2 linked regions of the Lonchura striata genome follow. The protein of the gene in region 1 purifies or fractionates together with the protein of each later gene. This does not show direct contact. Links are inferred from orthologs where the notes say so. Each region holds a gene or a part of one and is shown on either strand. Other genes may lie near its edges. The genes, in order: OSBPL8 and GLG1.

Evidence for each region.
Region 2: the proteins of OSBPL8 (region 1) and GLG1 purify together in Homo sapiens (co-immunoprecipitation; 3 studies listed by BioGRID and IntAct, with this or other methods). This does not show direct contact. The link is inferred for Lonchura striata from reciprocal best matches to the Homo sapiens genes OSBPL8 and GLG1.

What each region holds. Positions count from the first base shown.
Region 1 is NC_134607.1:47,136,368-47,140,273, reverse strand, and holds the start of OSBPL8 (oxysterol-binding protein-related protein 8), read left to right. Parts: upstream 1-1,422; 5' UTR 1,423-1,556; intron 1,557-3,906. UniProt on the Homo sapiens protein: Lipid transporter involved in lipid countertransport between the endoplasmic reticulum and the plasma membrane: specifically exchanges phosphatidylserine with phosphatidylinositol 4-phosphate (PI4P), delivering phosphatidylserine to the plasma membrane in exchange for PI4P, which is degraded by the SAC1/SACM1L phosphatase in the endoplasmic reticulum.
Region 2 is NC_134615.1:15,920,526-15,924,431, forward strand, and holds the start of GLG1 (Golgi apparatus protein 1), read left to right. Parts: upstream 1-1,344; 5' UTR 1,345-1,353; coding exon 1,354-1,665; intron 1,666-3,906. UniProt on the Homo sapiens protein: Binds fibroblast growth factor and E-selectin (cell-adhesion lectin on endothelial cells mediating the binding of neutrophils).

The sequences.
Region 1 (3,906 bases):
TCCACAGTATGGAAGGCTGGGTGAGTGGCTCTTGTCAGAGTGAACTATTTAATTCCAGAGCCCTCCTTTGGAAAGAAGTATTGTTTAATCATAAAAAGCTTTGTACAAAGAAACTTCAATTTTGTTTTCATCATTAGATATGTTCTCTGTATTATTCAACATTTTATACCTCATTGCTGAGAAGACAAAGCAATCTTCCACAGGCAGGAATATATACACATCTTTCTACAGAAGCATTAATGAGTACTGAGAAAAGAATAGTCAGCCTTTTAATTAACTCTGATTCCAAGGAACAGAATGAAAAGATTGTGAGTGGAACATTAGCCCAAGATAATGGACTCCTAGTCACACTGCTGCATAATTGAGATACAGCCGATGATTTTATGAAAATTGGATGGAGCAAAAGACTTATTTCTGGAATTGGAAACATTAATCCTGTGTCAACTTTTCTGCATCACTCGTTGCGAGTCAGTGCTGAAGGTGCCAGATATCTTCTGAATGCACTGACAGTACTTTCCCTTAAAGTCAGTGAAGATGCTCTGCATTTAGCAACTGTTTCAGCACTGTCAACTGGCAGGTGATAACAATGTAAGGTACGTCCTGATGCTACTTAAAATAGAGTAATATGTGTAAGTTGCTCATGGTGGTTTTATTACTGAGGACATCTTTAAAAGTCCTAGGAGAAGAGGAGGTTCAGGGGTAACGTTGCTGCTGTCTCCAACTCCCTGAGAGGAGGATGTAGCCAGGTGAGGGTCAGTCTCTCCTCCCAGGGAGCCAGCAACAAGACAAAAGGACATAGCCTTAAGCTGCAGCAGGAAAGATTTAATTTGGACATTAGGAAGAATTTCTTCATAGAAAGGGTGATTAGACATGGGAATGGGCTGGCCAGGGAGGTGGTGGAGCCACCGTCCACCCGTGGAGGTGTTTTGAGAAAAGACTGGATGTGGCACTCAGAGCCATGGTCTAATTGACATGGTGGTGTTGGCTCATAAGTTGGATTCGATGATCTCAGAGGTCTTTTCCAACCTAATTGATTCAGTGATTCTGAGAAGTCACATTTTGAGGCGACTTAAAAAAAAAAAAAGCAGTGAGGGGTTCCTGTTGTGACGCTAATCTGAGACCACGTCTTGCAGTTTTTCGGGCATGCTTCAGACCTCATTTTATTCCCACTGTTACTACTTTTCCGCTGCCTAGGTTATCCCGTAACACCAGGCTGGGCGATGTCACAGCGCCGGCGCGCCACCCGAGCCCGTGCTTCTGCCGCATTCTGCGCGGCCGGCGGCGGCAGGGCCGGGATTCCTCCCGGGGCAGCCGCCGCCCTCACCGCGCGCAGCTCCGCGGGGCGGGGCCGCCGCCGCCCGCGCCTGCGCGCGCGCCCCCGCCGCGGCGGATGAGCGGATCAGGCGGCGACCGGGCGGGGCCGCGGCGGCAGCAGCGGGAGCGCGGCAGCGGGAGCGCAGCCCGGGACGGCAGGGGAGGGGTCCCGGCCGCCGCCCCCTCCCCTGCACCGGCCGGGCGCCGCTCCGCGCCTCCCGCCGGACCTGCTGCGGGCAGAGGTGAGGGCAGCGGCGGCTCCGGGGGCAGCGCCAAAGCGACCGCGGCTGCGGGCGGGACGCGTGTGCCGCGGTGCCGCCGGGGCCGCGCTGCCGTGCGTGCCGCCTTCCCCCGGCTGCCGGGCGGGACGGGGCTGCCGGGAGCCCCCGGGGGTCTCCGGGAGCGCCGGGGCCGGTGAGTGTTGCCGGGCGCCGGCCGAGCGGCTGCTCGGTGCGGCGCCGGGCCGCAGCACGGTCCCGCGGAGCCGGGCGCCGCGGCCGGGGCTCGCGGCCGCGGGCCGGCTGCTGCCAGTGCGGTGCGCGCAGCCCGGGCCCGCCCGCCGGCCGCCGTTGAAACCGGCGGCGTTCAATGCAGTTAGAATGTGGCTGCCGGTAACCCGCTTCCCCTCGCACTGGGAAAATAAGCGTGCGCTGTAGCCGTGCCCTGGGGAGCGAAACCTGGCTACTGTCCCCCGTCCCGTGTGCTGCCGGCCGCGCTTCTGCATCACTGTTAGCAGGCCTTGCGAATGGCTCGCTTCCTAAAGAGCCTGGGCTCCAGGGGCGTTTTGCTCAGCGAACGAGCAGATCGTTCCGATGAGGTTCACAGGGTTGCTTGAAATAGTGGTGTTCACAAGTTGTGCGTTGTATCAGTGCGCTGTAGAATTCCCCTGATTGGAGGAAAGCCATCAATTCAGTGTGTCACTGAAGATGCTTCTAATGTGTTTTGTGTTGCCACTGTCCAGAACAGAGTTCTTGGGATTGAAAGATCTGGATACCTTTTAAAAGGAGTTGATTTTCATCTGGCGGCTTTCATAACTTCATTTATTTTAACTTCATCATAGGGAATACAAATCTATTTGATCTGTTAAGTGTTAATGCAATCGGGACCCTGCTAATGCTCATTAATTATCAGCCTCAGTTTTGAAGTTCGGAAAAGACAGGAGTTAGTACCGAGTTGTTAGTCTACAGTGAGCATAATGGCCAGCAACAGAGCTGTGCAGAGAGCAGTGCTTCCCACTTGTCTTTGTCAGGTCTGTTGAGTGAGCGTTTAGAGATGATGCAGTTCTGGTTTTCAATGATGCAGAAAAGATGAGAAGAGAACATAGCTTTGTTGGCTATCAAGTAACTGTAGAATGGACTGGTGAAATTTTCTGTGTGCTGTTTTGTTTTCGAATTCCCTGCAAACTTCTGAGGTAATTTGTTGTTTTAGCCTAGTACTAGTTTTTAGTCAAAACTCCTGAGCTTTGAAGTAATTTGTTTTATGATTATACAACTTTCCAAAACTTGGCTGTAGAGCCCTCCTTTCCAGATGCTGGTTTGATGTGTCTACTTCAGAATTGAGACTAGTTGAGGGAAAAAGAGATGTGTGATTGTGATCACTTGTGGATCCTTTGACTCTTTTTTTTCTTTCTTTCCTTTTTTTTTTTTTTTATTGTGGAGTTGCAAAGATCTTAGAATCATTTAGTTTGGAAAATACTCTAAAAATCATATTGTAAATAAACCTAATATTTTGAGGCTGATGTAGCTTAGGCCTAGCAATGCATAATCCTTTTTCTACTTTAATCATGGGTCAGGGAAAGAACTCCTTTTAAACACGCTACTTTGTCAAATTAGTTCAAAAATTACTTTTTAGTAAAGGTCTATCCAGTTCATATCTCTGCTGCATGTATAAACCCCCAGAGTACCTCAAACTCTGTTGATGTTTGTTAACTTTTACAATAGAAGGAGGAATTTTCTGATGTTGCAGGAAAGAATGTTGGACTCGTACACTTTTTATGAGGAACTGAACTGGGACAGAAAGACTTCAGTGGTCCTGTTTTTTTTAACAATGCATTATCTCAGGTTTTGCTCCAAAGAGAAATAAGATGCAGAAATGAAAGGAAGATAATTTTGGGAGAAGGGAAATTTATTGAAGATGGCTCATTTTTAGATTGCCTTTTCTTAAATTGAAGTGATTGAGAAGGGTCTGAGGCAATGCAGCATGTACCCATTTTCTTTCCTCTTGTCTGCTGTTAAACTTTCAAATAAATGGTTGTGCAACTGCCTAGTAAAGAAACTATGCATACTTTGTATTCTGTGAAGTTGTGTTCCAGCCTCCTCTCTGTCCAGTAAATCTTTGCATAGAACACTCAGCCAAGTTTTAATGAACTGTATTGAGTCAGTTATTAGGCTTTCATCTCTTCACTGATTACTGCTTTGCCACCTGCTTCCCCACTGCATTTCCCACTTATTCTGTTTCCTGAAGCATGCAAGAGAGTTTTCCAAGGGCCTTTTCTCCCTTCTCCCTTCCTGTGCTGTGTAATTCCTCTTGCTTTAGGCTGTCTGTCAGATAACTTATCTCTTAGTCTCTTGGTCTTCTGCTTCAGAACAGAAA
Region 2 (3,906 bases), on another chromosome or scaffold:
GAGAAATGACAGCAGGAAAGTTGAATGTCAGCATTTATTAAAGATTTGGGGTGTTTTTAGCAGCCAGCCAATTTTTTGTCTTAGTTCTTACGTAGTTTCCCTCTGCACTTCCGTATTTTTTCTTCATTCTTTAGTATTTTTTCTTTGGCTTCCTCTTTTTCTTTGTTCTTCTCCATTTCTTCTCGGATTGCCTCTATTTTGTCTCTGATGCTCTGTAATTTTTTGTCGAGATCGTGTACTTTTTCTTTGTCATTACGTGTTTTTATTTCATTCTCTATTTTTACTTCATTCTTCAGTATTTTTTCTGCATGCTTTTTTAATCTGTTTTGCTGTATTTTTTCTTTGTTCTTATGTATTTTATCTTTGAGATCCTGTATTTTTTCTTTGTTTGTCCACATTTTTGTTACATACCCTTTTTGTACTTCATTGTTCTTTTTTTCCTCTTCGATATCCTCTAATCGTTCTGTCTTCATCTGTATTTTCATTTCGTTCTTCCGTATATTTTCCTTGATCCTCTCTATTTTTACTTTGTACTCCTGTATTTTTATTTCATTCTTCTGTATTTTTTCTTTGATCTCTTGCATTTCTTCTTCAGTGTTCTTAATTTTTGCTTTGATCGCCTGCATTTTCTCTTCATTCTTCTGTAATTCTTGTTTGTATTTCTGTATTTGTTCATCCTTGTCCAGACTTGGCTCATCAACCAGCTCCCTAGAACTGTCATCAGACACTTTCGCAAAGGTCAGTTTCCCCATTACGTCTCCCGCCTCCTCAGTCGCTGGGCAGCCGAAGCGCGAGTGGGAAATGAGATTTCGGGCAAAATCTGCAGCTACTGGACACCTGCTGAGGGAGGCGCTGGCCCGGCTGCCGCCTTCCCGGGGGGCTGAGCACGCCCGGGCTCGGCTCCTGGCGCCCCGGCACCGCCGCTGGCTCGGCCGTGTCGCCCCGCGTGGCTGTGGGGTGGCGGAGGCCGCTGAGGCGATCCGGGAGCCGTTGCGGGGCTGCGGGAACCGTTGAGGGGGCTGCGGGGCGGCTGAAGGGCTGCGGGGCAGCTGAGGGGTGGTGGGGTCCCCTGAAAGGCTGCGGGGCCGCTGAGGACGTGCTGGAGCCCTGAGGGGCGGCGAGGGCCGTCGGGCCCGGGGAGCCGCGGGGACCCCGGGGTGGCGCCTCGTCCTCCTGAGGCGACAACGGCCGAGGCGGCGCCGCCGCGCGTGCTGCGGGAGGGGCCACAACCGACCACGCCCCCTAGCGGGAAAGGGGCGCGTCCCGCTGGGGCGACGTCACGGGCGCGCTAATTTGCATACGCCGTGCGTGCCGCGGGGTGGGCGGGCGGACGCCGGAGGTGGCGGATCCAAGATGGCGCCGTGCGGACGTGTCCGGAGCCGCTGCCCGGGCCCGGCGCTGCTCCTGCTGCTGGCGCTGGCGGCGCGGCCGGCGGCGCCCAGCGCTCCTGCCGCTCTTTCCGGCCCCGGCGGTGCTCCGCCCGCAGCGGGGCAGCCGGTGGGGCCGGGCGCGGCTGCCCCGCGAAGTGCCCGCGGCGGCGGGTCGGGCAGCGGGTGGAAGCTGTCGGAGGAGGCGGTGTGCCGGGAGGACGTGGTGCGGCTCTGCTCCAAGCACAGCTGGGCCAACAACCTCGCCGTGCTCGAGTGCCTGCAGGATGTCCGCGAGGTGAGGGTCGGGCCCGGGGCCGGGCCGGGCCTGCCCGCGGCGGCGAACAAAGAGCCGGGTCCGCGCCCCGCCGCGCCGCCGCCCCGCGTATCCCTCATGGCTTGTGTTTTAAAAATCGGAGTTTGCGCTGCGGAGCTCCGTGAGGGGGAGCGAGCTGCCTGCGGGGTGGCCGTAAGGGCTCCGGCGAGCAGCTCCTCTTCATCCGCACCTCGGGGCTCGGCGCTGCCGCCCGCGCAGCGCCCTGCGGGCAGGGAGAGCTCTCGGGGATGGCTTTGTGCTCCGGCTCCGGTGCTTGCGGGGTTCTTCTTTTCTGGAGGTCTGGGAGAGCCCAGCCTGCCTAGTGCTGAGTGAAGGCGCCGTGCTCATAGCAGCAGTGACCTGAGATGTTTTTTTCACGTTCAGGCTCCCACCTTCGCCACGAACTCGGCTGCAGAGGCGGCTGCTTTCCAGTCCTCGGTTGTGCATGTATGAAACTCGATATATAATCGTTGGATTTAGCTGACTTTATGGGGAGGTTAACAGGACAGTCTGTGTTGTTCCCATACACCTGTCGTGAGCAGTTTTAACTCCAGTTCAAGAAAAAACTGAGTTGCCTCCTCCGAGTCTTCCAGCTCCATCTTTTCATTCATTCCTGGGCTCGTTTTGAAGCAGCCTTTGGGGACGTGCCTTTAGTGAGCTGTCCTGCCTAGTCTCGAGGTCTATATATTCTTGGCTTCTCTGCTGTAGAGTCCGGGAATGCCAGACTGGGTCAATTTTATTGGTGTTTTGCCCAATAGGGAATGCGATTAGGAAAAACCTGGGCTTGTTTTTCATCCATTTTTATGGGGACAGCAGATGGCAGTGGCAATGGGTACTCTAATCAAAGGGAGTCTTGAACCAGTAAGTGTCAGTGATTACTTCTGGCTTAAAATGCAAAGCTAATTTAGATTTTAATCTAACTTCATGTTTTAATTTTGTGTGGGTAGTTAGTAAGACACTCGTGGTAGGTGTTTTAAATGAGTCTTGCTGCAAAATCTGTCACAGGTATGAAACATTCCACTATGTCCTTTATGAATAACTTGTCCCTTGCTGTTCCGTTCACCTGTCTGAGATCTTTTGGCCCCCTTTTTGGGAGGCATCCTGTCTGGGAGGATCTCGGAAGCTGACCTCACAGGCAGTGGCTCACAAGCTGCCAGCCTGCCAAAAAGGCAAGCTCTTGTTCCTTTCTTTCCAGTTGCATAGCCCCTCCCTACTCTTTTCACAGTTCCAGTGCTTGTTGGTTTTCTGCCATTTTAGCGAGGTGAACCCTTTTGTGGTCTAGTTTATTGGTTTTCTGCTGGAATAGTTTTGCCATTTTTCTGAGTTAAAGCACAGAGGGGGGCGAGTGCAGGGCTGGTACACAGGGCTGTGCAGGGAGAGGGATAAGATCAAATCAAAGGTGAAGGAATGTTTTGCATCACGCTTTATTTTCAGCAAGTACAAACCCTTATGTTAGCTCTGCATATCTCCTGAGAACTCCACTCTTTGAATGTTATGTCTGCTTGTGGTTTTCCCATTCCTAAGCCTACCTTGATGTCAGTAGTTTGCTGGCTCTTGATCTTGTCTAGCTGTAGTGTTGCCTGATGCTCATTGCTGAAGGTGAATTTTTTCCTGGGTGACATCCCAAGCATCGACAGAACATCTCAGGGCTCTTCTGGATTGAGTTTTGTTTCTCTGAAGGTGCCACTCTGGCCTTGCCCTTATTTGTCTGTCAGCTTGCAAAGAGCACTGTCAGCTGATCTTAACTCTCAACACTTTGCCCCCAGTAACACTGATGTGATGGGCTGCATCCTGACGTAAAAATGACTTCACAGGGTGCTGCTCCTAGAAATTAATTAAAATAGCTGACTTCTGTGTATCCCTACAGTTTAACACTTGATATTTAGACTGTGAATAAAGGTCTTGAGTTGTAAACATTGGGTAGCATTTCAGCTGCTTGGGAATGGGGTCAGATGTCGTCTCAGACATTTTCTTTGCATTGGAGATGACAGCAGAGGAAAGAAGTGACGTATTGTCTGTTATTGGTATAACTTCTACTTTTGACTCTAGAGCATCTGACCACTTGTTTGGACAATACCAGAAAAGTGACAATTACGTTTTAAAATGGGTGAGGATCTAGTCTGAGTCATACAGCCCACTTAAAACCAGTCAGGCTATAGTAAGTGGAGATTTGGGGGAGTTGTTTTGTGTGTGATGGTCTCAGTGTGGACAGTGTATGGACAC